Linked DNA regions of Ovis aries. The protein of the gene in region 1 interacts with the protein of each later gene in a pairwise test. Links are inferred from orthologs where the notes say so. Each region holds a gene or a part of one and is shown in the gene's direction. Other genes may lie near its edges.

Evidence for each region.
Region 2: the proteins of MEOX2 (region 1) and CHRD interact in binary tests that used the Homo sapiens proteins (3 or more experiments, as listed by UniProt). The two-hybrid records come from large-scale screens. The link is inferred for Ovis aries from reciprocal best matches to the Homo sapiens genes MEOX2 and CHRD.
Region 3: the proteins of MEOX2 (region 1) and PAK1IP1 interact in a two-hybrid assay, tested with the Homo sapiens proteins (2 studies listed by BioGRID). The two-hybrid records come from large-scale screens. The link is inferred for Ovis aries from reciprocal best matches to the Homo sapiens genes MEOX2 and PAK1IP1.

What each region holds. Positions count from the first base shown.
Region 1 is NC_056057.1:25,002,732-25,006,378, reverse strand, and holds part of MEOX2 (homeobox protein MOX-2), read left to right. Parts: intron 1-416; coding exon 417-589; intron 590-3,647. UniProt on the Homo sapiens protein: Mesodermal transcription factor that plays a key role in somitogenesis and somitogenesis and limb muscle differentiation. Required during limb development for normal appendicular muscle formation and for the normal regulation of myogenic genes.
Region 2 is NC_056054.1:203,596,973-203,600,719, reverse strand, and holds the start of CHRD (chordin), read left to right. Parts: upstream 1-1,018; 5' UTR 1,019-1,027; coding exon 1,028-1,175; intron 1,176-1,383; coding exon 1,384-1,487; intron 1,488-1,974; coding exon 1,975-2,104; intron 2,105-2,227; coding exon 2,228-2,356; intron 2,357-2,448; coding exon 2,449-2,548; intron 2,549-2,670; coding exon 2,671-2,758; intron 2,759-3,115; coding exon 3,116-3,257; intron 3,258-3,373; coding exon 3,374-3,514; intron 3,515-3,596; coding exon 3,597-3,679; intron 3,680-3,747. UniProt on the Homo sapiens protein: Dorsalizing factor. Key developmental protein that dorsalizes early vertebrate embryonic tissues by binding to ventralizing TGF-beta family bone morphogenetic proteins (BMPs) and sequestering them in latent complexes.
Region 3 is NC_056073.1:44,622,692-44,626,338, reverse strand, and holds part of PAK1IP1 (p21-activated protein kinase-interacting protein 1), read left to right. Parts: intron 1-659; coding exon 660-805; intron 806-915; coding exon 916-1,013; intron 1,014-3,195; coding exon 3,196-3,295; intron 3,296-3,647. UniProt on the Homo sapiens protein: Negatively regulates the PAK1 kinase. PAK1 is a member of the PAK kinase family, which has been shown to play a positive role in the regulation of signaling pathways involving MAPK8 and RELA.

The sequences.
Region 1 (3,647 bases):
GGAATTCTCAGGCAAGTATTGGAGTGGGTTGTCATTCCCTTCTCCAGTGGGTCTTCCCAACCTAGGGACTGAACCAGTGTTTTCTGCATTGAAGGCAGATTCTTTACCATTTGTGCCACCAGGGAAGCATATTAAGAACAGTTAATTTTTTGTGTGTATATTGATATTTCAAAAGAAGAAAACTAGACACAGCCCCAGTTAGGCTGTGAGTCACCTCAGGGCGCATAGGAAAAAAATGCAATTTATCTCACCCTGTCAAGATAAATCTTACTGTCTTTGGTTTCTCTCTATTTTTACTGTGTTTAATAGAGTACCTGGAAAAGTAGTTATTCAGTAAATGTTTCTGTTCTAAATTAAATGATTGAATGTGTTTGAGTGAATGAACTAAATCTAATTCTTTTACTTTTTTTCACCAGACTCCCAGGAAGGAAATTACAAGTCAGAAGTCAACAGCAAACCCAGAAAGGAAAGAACAGCTTTTACCAAAGAGCAAATCAGAGAACTTGAAGCAGAATTTGCCCATCATAATTATCTGACCAGACTGAGGCGATATGAGATAGCAGTGAATCTGGATCTCACTGAAAGACAGGTAATGTTGGACATTGTCATTATATATTTTTAGTTGCTTTGGGTCAACAGTCTTCTCTCACCATTTAAAAAATATCTAGATCAGTTCAATTCAGTCTGTCAGTAGTCTAAGACTCTTTGTGACCCCATGGACTGCAGCACTCAAGGCCTCCCTGTCCATCACCAACTCCTGGAGTTTACTCAAACTCATGTCCACCCAGTCGGTGATGCCATCCAACCATCCCATCCTCTGCTGTCCCCTTCTCCTCCTGCCTTCAGTCTTTCCCAACTTCAGGGTCTTTTCAAATGAGTCAGTTCTTCCATCAGGTGGCCAAAGTATTGGAATTTCAGCTTCAGCTTCAGTCCTTCTAATGAATATTCAGGACTGATCTCCTTTAGGATTGACTGGTTGGATCTCCTTGCAGTCCAAGACTCTCAAGAGTCTTCTCCAACTGCTGCTGCTGCTGCTGCTAAGTCGCTTCAGTCATGTCTGACCCTATGCGACCCCTTAGACGGCAGCCCACCAGGCTCCCCCATCCCTGGGATTCTCCAGGCAAGAACACTGGAGTAGGTTGCTATGTCCTTCTCCAATGCATGAAAGTGAAAAGTGAAAGTGAAGTCGTTCAGTCGTGTCTGACTCTTCCAAGCAAGAGTACTGGAGTGGGGTACCTTTGCCTTCTCTGGTCTTCTGCAACACCACAGCTCAAAAGCATCAGTTCTTCGTTGCTCAGCTTTCTTTACGATCCAACTCTTAACATCCATACAGGAGTACTGGAAAAACCATAGCTTTGACTATGCGGACCTTTGTTGGCAAAGTAATGTCTCTGCTTTTTAATATGCTGTCTAGGTTGGTCATAGCTTTTCTTCCGAGGATCCAGCATCTTTTACTATGGCTGCAGTCACCATCTGCAGTGATTTTGGAGCCCAAGAAGATAAATTCTCTCACTGTTTCCATTGTTTCCCCATCCATTTGCCGTGAAGGGATGGGACTGGATACCATGATCTTTGATTTTTTAATGTTGAGTTTTAAGTCAGCTTTTTCACTCTCCCCTTTCACTTTCATCAAGAGGTTCTTTAGTTCCTTTTCACTTTCTGCCATAAGCGTGGTATCATCTGCATATCTGGGGTTTTGATATTTCTCCTGGCCATCTTGATTCCAGCTTGTGCTTCATACAGCCCAGAATTTCTTACGATGCATAGAAGTTAAATAAACAAGGCGATGATATATAGTCTTGACGTACTCCTTTCCCAATTTGGAACCAGTCTGTTGTTCTATGCCCGATTCTTACTGTTGCTTCTTGACCTGCATATAGATTTCTCAGGAGACAGGGTCTGGTAGTCCCATCTCTTGAAGAATTTTCCAGTTTGCTGTGATCCACACAGACAAAGGCTTTGGTTTAGTCAATAAAGCAGAAGTGAATGTTTTTCTAGAATTTGATCTAATGGGTGTTGGCAATTTGATCTCTGGTTCCTCTGCCTTTTCTAAATCCATCTTGAACATCTGGAAGTTCCTGGTTCACATATTGTTGAGGCCTAGCTTGGAGAATTTTGAGCATTAGTTTCCTAGCATGTGAGATGAATGCAATTGTGCAGTAGTTTGAGCATTCTTTGGCATTGCCTCTCTTTGGGATTGGAATGAACACTGATCTTTCCCAGTCCTGTGGTCACTGCTGAGTTACGAAACTTGCTGGCACCTTAAGAGCATCATCTTTTAGGAGTTGAAATAGCTCAGCTGAAATTCCATCACCTTGACTAGCTTTGTTCATAGTGATGCTTCCTAAGGCCCACTTCACTTCCATTCTAGGATGTCTGGCTCTAGGTGAGTGATCACACCGTGGCGTGGTTATCATGATCTGTAATTCTAGATATCTGGATCTGTGATTCTCAAATATCATTGGGAAGATCAATTTTCTCTTTCATGATGAAGCTTTTGCCCAGCATAATGATATAATTAAGGAAGAATAAAATAAAGTGAAGTGAAGTCACTCAGTCGTGTCTGACTCTTTGCGATCCCATGTCCTTGGGATTCTCCAGGCAAGAATATTGGAGTGGGTTGCCATTTCCTTCTCCAGAGGATCTTCCCAACACAGGGATCAAACCCAGGTCTCCCGTACTGCAGGCAGACTTTTTACTGTCTGAGCTACCAAGGGCTCCCTGAAGAATAAAATAGTCATATCTATTTATTTTACTTTACAATATTGTATTGGTTTTGCCACACATTGACATAAATCTGCCACGGGGGTACATGTGTTCCCCATCCTGAACCCCTCTCCCACCTCCCTCCCCATCCCATCCCTCTGGGTTTATTCAGTTTATGGAATCATCCTTTGTTCTGTGATTGTATCTTATATTTTTTGTTTCTAAAGTATTATGTCTTTTATATAATGATGGCATATGGAGAGGACTTTTGTTTATTTTTTATATTCATTTATTTTTAATTGATTTATGATTGCTTTACAATATTGGTTTGCTTTCTGTCATACATCAACATATATTAACCATAGGTGTACATATGTCCCCTCCCTTTTTAACCTCCCTTCCACCTCCCACCCTGTCCCACTCTCTAGGTTGTTACAGAGCCCCAGTGTGTGTTCCCTGAGTCCTACAGCAAGTTCCCATTGGCTGTTTATTTACATAAGTCAGTGTATATGCTTCCATGTTACTCTCTCCATTCATCTTGTTTATTTTTAAAATCTCCTTATTTCACATACTAGAAATTTGGAAACCCCATGTTAGTTTCGTTTACTGCTCAGGATAGGGTTTATGTCACAGTAATACATTAACCCTCAAATCTGAATGACATAAGCATAAAGTTTACTGTTTGGTCACTCTCCCTACTAACTTTGCAAGTCCAGCTTTCCAAATAATCACTCAGGACCCAGTCTGACCTTCTAGCATCCTGACATGTGGTGTCCTTGGTAACTGCAAGAGGTAAGAAAGAGCTGGAGGTTCAGGCATTGACCTCTAAATGTTTTCACCTGGAAATGACCCATGTCGCTTTCATTTTCACCCTAATGTCTGGAAATATTCAATGGTACCACTTAAATTTAAGGGCACTGAGACATGGTAGGCACAAGGGC
Region 2 (3,747 bases), on another chromosome or scaffold:
AAAGAGGTTGTGGGTAGGGTGGAGAGGCAGAGGGTCCTGCAGGTGAAGGAAGAGGGTGGGGAAGTGTGTCAGGCTGGGGAGGAGGATGGTTGGATGGGCCTGAGCACAGGTAATAGTAGGGAGAGAAATGCTGTCAGCAGACAGAAAGGGGATACCGTCTGTTTCTGGCTAAGTTCCTATCCCAGGGACAGAGGAAAGAGGAGAGATCTCAGAGGGGATGTAGGGACACAGGCTGGGCAATGAGAGTGGTGTGGGGATTGAGTGGTGCTGTGGGCCCAGAGACAGGCGAAGATGAGTTGATGGGCCCGTCCTGCCCGTTGTCATCCTTAAAGACAATTCTTCATCCTTCCGGCAGGAACTCAGTCCTAGCGCAGTGGCCGGCCCAGGCCTCAGGCCGTCTCTGCCTCTCCGTGGCCTGGGGCTCCCGTCCCGGGCCGGACATGCACCTCCTGGTCCAGTTGCCCCGTGGACGCCGGCAGCGGGTGGGTGGTGGTGGGGGCTCCAGATCCGCCTCTCCTCCCCGCTTTGCGCCCCCTGGTCCCTCCCCTCCCCCTATCCCCTCCGCTCCCCCTTCCCCTACAGCCCCTCCCTCCTCCCCTGCCCGGTTCCAGCCCCTCCCTCCCCTCCCCCACTCGCGATCCGGGCCGCTGCTGCTGGGCCGGACCCCCCGGGCTCAGCCCGGCCCCTCGCCGAGCCGCCGCCGCCGCCCCGTTTGCTGAGGAGGAGGCCCCCGGCCGGGGCGCCGGGCGCGGGGCATAAAACGGGCCAGAGCCGGCGCCTGGGGCACTAGAGCCGCGTACGGCCCGGGTCAGCGCCCGCCCGCCCGCGCTCCTCCCGGCCGCTCCTCCCGCCCCGCCCGGCCCGGCGCCGACTCCGCGGCCGCCCGACGAGCCCCTCGCCGCACCGCTCGGGCCCTGGCCCCGGCCCCCTCCCGCCGCACCGCCCCCGGCCCGGCCCTCCTCGCGTCTCCCTCCTCCCTCTGTCGCTCCCTCCTCCCTCCCGCCTCCCCAGCTGTCCCGTTCGCGTCATGCCGAGCCTCCCGGCCCCGCCGGCCCCGCTGCTGCTCCTCGGGCTGCTGCTGCTCGGCTCCCGGCCGGCCCGCGGCGCCGGCCCCGAGCACCCCGCGCTGCCTATCCGGCCCGAGAAGGAGCCGCTGCCCGTTCGGGGAGCAGCAGGTAGGAGGGCGCCCCGGGGGAGGCGCGGGCGGGGAGTGCGGCTCGGGGCAAGTCTGCGCCCGCCCGGAGGGGGCGCAGGGCGCAGGTGGCTCGGCGCGGCGGGCGGCCCGGAGGGGTGCCCAGGGACCCGGGGCCCGGCCCGCAGCGCCCCGGGGCGGGCACACGGCAGGAGCGGGACAGCGGCCGCCAGCCAAGCCCGTCCCCGCAGGCTGCTCCTTCGGCGGGAAGGTCTATGCCTTGGACGAGACGTGGCACCCGGACCTGGGGGAGCCCTTCGGGGTGATGCGCTGCGTGCTGTGCGCCTGCGAGGCGGTGAGTGGACCCAATGGCTGTGGCCGGGGGCCCTGTGGGTCGGGGAGCGCTGAGGTCTTGGGACGTCGGATGGACCCGGAGCTGCTGAAGAGAAAGAAGCCAGTCTGCAGATATTTGGGATAATTTTTTTGGCGGAGGAGGCACGAGGAAGGATAGAGGAGAGGAAGCGCCCCCTTCAAGTCTCAGGTGTTGCCTATTATTGATCGTCCACTGTGTCAGGCTCTTAGCCAACTCCATTTCATCTCTCACTTAACTCCTAGTACAACCGCGTTAGACAGAGAGTATCATTGCTCCCGTTTTTCAGACGGGGACCGCGCAGCCCAGAGAGGTTAAGTAACTTGTCTAGAGTCACGCAGCTTGTAGGTAGCAAAGCACTCTTGACTCCGTGGGCCGACCTTGACCTTGTCCGATGCCTTCTCGGCTTGCCTTTGATTCTCAACAATTGATGTCTTGCCCTCACTCGGCTTTCCGTCTTCTCTGTGAGCAGCCTCAGTGGGGTCGCCGCGCAAGGGGCGCAGGCAGGGTCAGCTGCAAGAACATCAAGCCCGAGTGCCCAACCCTGGCGTGTGGGCAGCCGCGCCAGCTGCCTGGACACTGCTGCCAGACTTGCCCCCAGGGTAAGGCCGGCTCCGCGGAGAGGGGAGGGCGGCAGGGCCGAGATGCGTGGCTGGGCGGAATGGAACGGTCAACTGGCCCTCTCCTTGCCCACCCGAAACCCGTGTCCCCCACCCTCGGTGCAGAGCACAGCAGTTCGGAAAAGCAGCCGACGGGCCTGGCCTTCGAGTATCCACGCGACCCAGAGCACCGAAGCTACAGCGACCGTGGGGAGCCAGGAGCTGAGGATCGGGGGCGTGGAGACGGCCACACGGGTAGGCAGAGGCCGGGTAGGAACTGGGGTTGTGACAGGCGCCGGGCCGCAGCAGCGGGTGACGGAACTAGGGACATCTTCCTCCCCTCGCAGACTTCGTGGCGCTGCTGACAGGGCCAAGGTCGCAAGCGGTGGCGCGGGCTCGAGTGTCGCTGCAGCGCTCCAGTCTGCGGTTCTCCATCTCCTACCGGCGGTGAGAAAGAGGAAGGAGGGAGGAGGGGTCAGCCCGGGGCCAGGGAGGGAGAATTTGGAGAGGCTGCAGCAGCGCTTCTGGCCCAGGCTCAGAGCCGGTGCTCAAGGGATGCTCATTACCAGGCTGGACCGCCCTACCCGAATCCGCTTCTCTGACTCCACTGGCAGCATCCTGTTTGAACACCCTGCAGCGCCCACCCAAGATGGCCTGGTGAGATGATGCCATTTATGAGTGCTTATCCCATCTGGGCACTATGCTGAGAGCATGCTCTACATTGCCTCCTCGGGTCCTCACAACAGCCCAGTGGGAGAGAGGCACTGACATTATGATGCCCATTTTACAGATGAGGGAACTGAGGCTCAGTAGCAGAATGTGATTTGTTCAAGGTCATACAACTAGTTGGTGGAGGATCTGGGATTTGAACCCTGGCATCTGGTTCCAGGGCCCTTTCTTACACATCCTAGGAGAGCCTGGGGACAGCTTCCCGTATTCCTTTCTCACCAGACATGGGCCTCTCAGCAGGCATGTCCTGTATACTGAGAGGGCCTTCTTGTCTCTCTGCTCCAGGTCTGCGGGGTGTGGCGGGCAGTGCCTCGGTTGTCCCTGCGACTCCTTAGGGCAGAACAGCTGTATGTGGCACTTGTGACACCCACTCACCCTTCAGGGGAGGTCTGGGGACCTCTCATTCGGCACCGGGCCCTGGCTGCAGGTGAGGGGAGCCAATCTCTCCTGGACGTGAAGTTCAGAGTCTTCTTGGCCCCCCAGAAATGGAGTGGGCTGAGGGGGGCACTTTCTGATGGGCTCTCGTGGTCCTTTTTTCCCCAGAGACTTTCAGTGCCATCCTGACCCTGGAAGGGCCCCCACAGCCAGGCATAGGGGGCATCGCCCTACTCACTCTCAGTGACACAGAGGACTCCTTGCACTTTCTGCTGCTCTTCCGTGGGCTCCTGGAGTCCAGGAGTGGGGGTAAGCGGGATGGGGGCAGACACGTGAAGAGGGTAGGGAGAGCACCCATCTTTCAGAGGTTCCATGTGTGTGGCTATTGCAGGACCAGCCCAGGTTCCCCTGTGGCTCCGGATTCTACACCAGGGGAAGCTACTTCGAGAGCTCCAAGCCAATGCCTCAGCCCAGGTGAGTGAGGGTCTGGCTCTAACTGCCGCCTGCTCTAGCCTCTTGCTGTGCCCACCGCACCCTCCTCT
Region 3 (3,647 bases), on another chromosome or scaffold:
GCTGTGCTGGATCTTCGTCATCGCAAGGGCTTTTTCTCTAGTTGCAGCGATTGGAGGCTGCTCTTCTGTTGCGGCATGCGGGCTTCTCACAGCAGGGCCTTCTGTTGTGGAGCGTAGGCTCTAAGGCATGAGGGCTCGATAACTGAGGTGCACAGGCTTCGTTGCTCCGAGACTTGTGAGATTTTCCCAGATCAGGGATCGAACCCATGTCTCCTGAATTGGCAGGTGGATTCTTTACCACTGAGCCATCAGGGAAGCCCAAAGTGAGTGTTTTTGTTTAAAAACATTTGAAAATTTGATAGGCTGTGAATGTGTATACACACAAGTTCTCGTGTCCACACACCTACAGTTATTTCCTTACATGGTGGTGGCTCTCTCTGAGAGCATAGGCCTTAGGTCACTTTTTTCCCTCCTCTTTCTATTGGGATTTTTGGCATGGCTCTGCCACCTATGAACTGTATGACCTTAATGATTCTTCAAACCAGTTCCTTGTCGAAAATCTAACTCATAAAAATATGCATCATAAGTTTGCTGTGAAGGTTTAATGGGATAATGGGTGTGAAAGTGCCCAGTGTAAATATTTGCTATTTTTTTATGACCCCCGATCAGTTTCTTTTTTTATCTATGAAATACAACAGCTTTGTTCTTGTAACTTACAGACGCTCACATAGTGGAATGGTCGCCAAAAGGAGAGAAGTACGTAGTTGTCATACTGAACAGAATAGATGTCTATCAGCTCGACACTGCGTCCGTCAGTGGCACCATCACAAATGCAAGGAGAGTGTCTTCTGTTGCGTTTCTTTCAGTGAGTGATCAGAAGTCAGTGGTGGGAGTTGAGTGTATACTGTGATGGTCAGAATTGTTGATGACATTCTGGGTGTTAATGTGTGGTTTTTTTTTTTTCCCCTCTGTTAGGAATCTGTCCTCGCAGTGGCTGGAGATGAAGAGGTTGTAAGGTTTTTTGACTGTGATTCCCTAACATGCCTCTCTGAGTTTAAAGCTCATGAAAACAGGTACTTTTTTTGTTTTTTACACACTAATCTCTGTGGGCTTGTATGTGGAGGGTCTCTTATAAGGGCAGTAGCTTCATAAGGCAGACTTTTTTGTGAATGACTACAAAAATAGACATATCTACAAAACTGATTTTTTTCAAGAGGATGGTGGGAATGTTGTCTTGGCCATAGTGATGCAAAAGTGGTGAAGTCGTCACCAGGATTAGTCATTGGCACAACAGACTTATTTTCTCAATAATTTCATTACACTTGCTGCCTGGAACCCTCAATTCATACTTGAGTGGGAAAAAAAAATTAGCTCTGCCCCAACCACTCTTGTCTTTTTTTCCTCTGTTTGCCTGTCCACTGGCCTCTTCCTACACTCTGCTTTTCCTGCAGGAGAAATAAATGACATGTTGACCTCTGTCTTGCGTCCATCTCCGTTACTGCTCACTGTATCTCTAAAGGCAGATGTGAGTCTCAGGGTCAATGGTTAATAACCGGACCAAGGTTACCACCCTGTTAGATGATAGAGAAGGGAACCAACCCAGTTCTATCTGACTGCTTCTGCTTTGTCTGCTGTAATTTTGTAAAATGGTGATGTAATATGTTTTATTTGCATATTCTTTTATGTTTCAAACAACTCTTATTCATTCTTTAAAAATGCTTATTTATTTGGCTGCACAGAGTCTTAGTTGCAGCACGCTGTGGCATGTGGGATGTAGGTCGAATCTGAGTCCCCTGCTTTGGGAGCGTCAGAGAAGACAATGACAACCCACTCCAGTACTCTTGCCTGGAAAATCCCATGGACGGAGGAGCCTGGTGGGCTGCAGTCCATGGGGTTGTGAAGAGTCGGACACGACTGAGCGACTTCACTTTCACTTTTCACTTTCATACATTGGAGAAGGAAATGGCAACCCACTCCAGTGTTCTTGCTTGGAGAATCCCAGGGACAGCGGAGCCTGGTGGGCTGCTGTCTGTGGGGTCTCACAGAGTCGGACATGACTGAAGTGACTTAGTAGCAGCAGCATTGGGAGCGTGGAGCCTTAGCCACGGGATCACCAAGGAAGTCCCATACAACTCTTAGTTTTCATTTTCTATATCATAGTTTAGCTTTAAGAAATCTCTCTTTACAAATACAATACTGCACTCACTAGACAGGCCCTCGTTTCTACCTGCCTAGTTTTGGGGAAGGGAGCCTATTCTTCAAGGCCATATAGCTCTTCGTGGATATTTGGTTGTTCGTTTAACAAGTATTTGCTGAGCAGCCCTAACGAAAAACTGCAGCAGGAGCTTGCACTCTCCTGGCTCTTATCTTATTGGGGGGCAACAAATAGGACAAACAAGAACTCAGGTAATCCTAACAGGAAGGAAATAGATATTACGGTTTGGGAATGACACAGGTAACTTATTTGGATGGGATGATCGGGGAAGAGGAAATGAGACCTTCGGGATAAAGGAGTTATTTCTAAAAGGGAGAGAATTGCAGGCACAGTGGCCCAGAGGGATAAAAGAGCTTGGTGTATTTTAGGAACAGATAGAAGACTGTCACTGGGTCAGAGGGAGCCCGACGGTGCCGGGCCCGGCGTGTTGTGGGAAGAAGTTTGAGTGCCTTTGCAGGGGTTGGGTTTTCTATGTCCCAGCCACTTCCTCCCTCTTGTGGTATTTTGAAACCGAACCTACCTCTGTAGAATTTTAAACCTGGGAATAACATAGTTTGATTTTTTAAAAAGTTGTTAGGGGGCAAAAATGGAAGCCCAGAGGCCAGTTAGTTTACTCCATAATCCAGAAGGAAAATGATAGTAACTCAGAAGGTGGGTGGTAGGCCCTGAGGACAAGGGGAGGAAGCCTCAGTCACCTCTTTCTCTCAATATAGTTTCCTGAGGTGGAGGGGGTTTGAATATCTTTATTTCCTTTAATTCCTGATAATTCTTTTTATTCCTGATAATCTGATCATTTATAGTCTTTTCAAGTCCTTCTTAAGGTATGGTTGACAGTCAATTCTATCTTGGAATTTAGACCCTGAAAATGACTCAACCAAGTCATGGGATTGTGAGGTATGTTAAACTTTTGGCACTGTTTGTTGAGCAGTTTGGAAACACCTGAAGCCTGGAAAAGTCGAGAGACTGTGCCTGAAGTTTTCTAGCAGCATCATACTGTCTGTAGGAAAGGCTCTTTAATGGTGTCACTGCTTTTGTCCTAGGGTAAAAGACATGTTCAGTTTTGAAACTCCAGAGCATCGTGTTCTTGTTACAGCATCGAGCGATGGTTTCATCAAAATGTGGAAGCTTAAGCAGGACAAGGTCAGTGTCTCAACACAATATAAATAAACCAAATGCAGGTCTTACTGTCAGTATGACTTTGAGTTAAGTGAGGTGGATTTTCTTAAAGGTTCATTGGGCACAGATCTTTTACATGTTTAACATTTCTTCAAGGCATGATTGATATTCATGGTTTTAAAATTAGGGTTGCATAGTGCTGCCCCGGGGGTTGGTATTGGTGAGTCTGAACTGGCTGGATCCCAGAACGCCTGCTCATTCAGTCAGAGAAACAGCATATTTTTCTCTTCTGTGTATCGATGATCTTCTCTATAACCTTCTGTTAGATAAAAATCCTGGTGTTGCTAGAAAAATAATGGGGAACTTTCTTTCAATT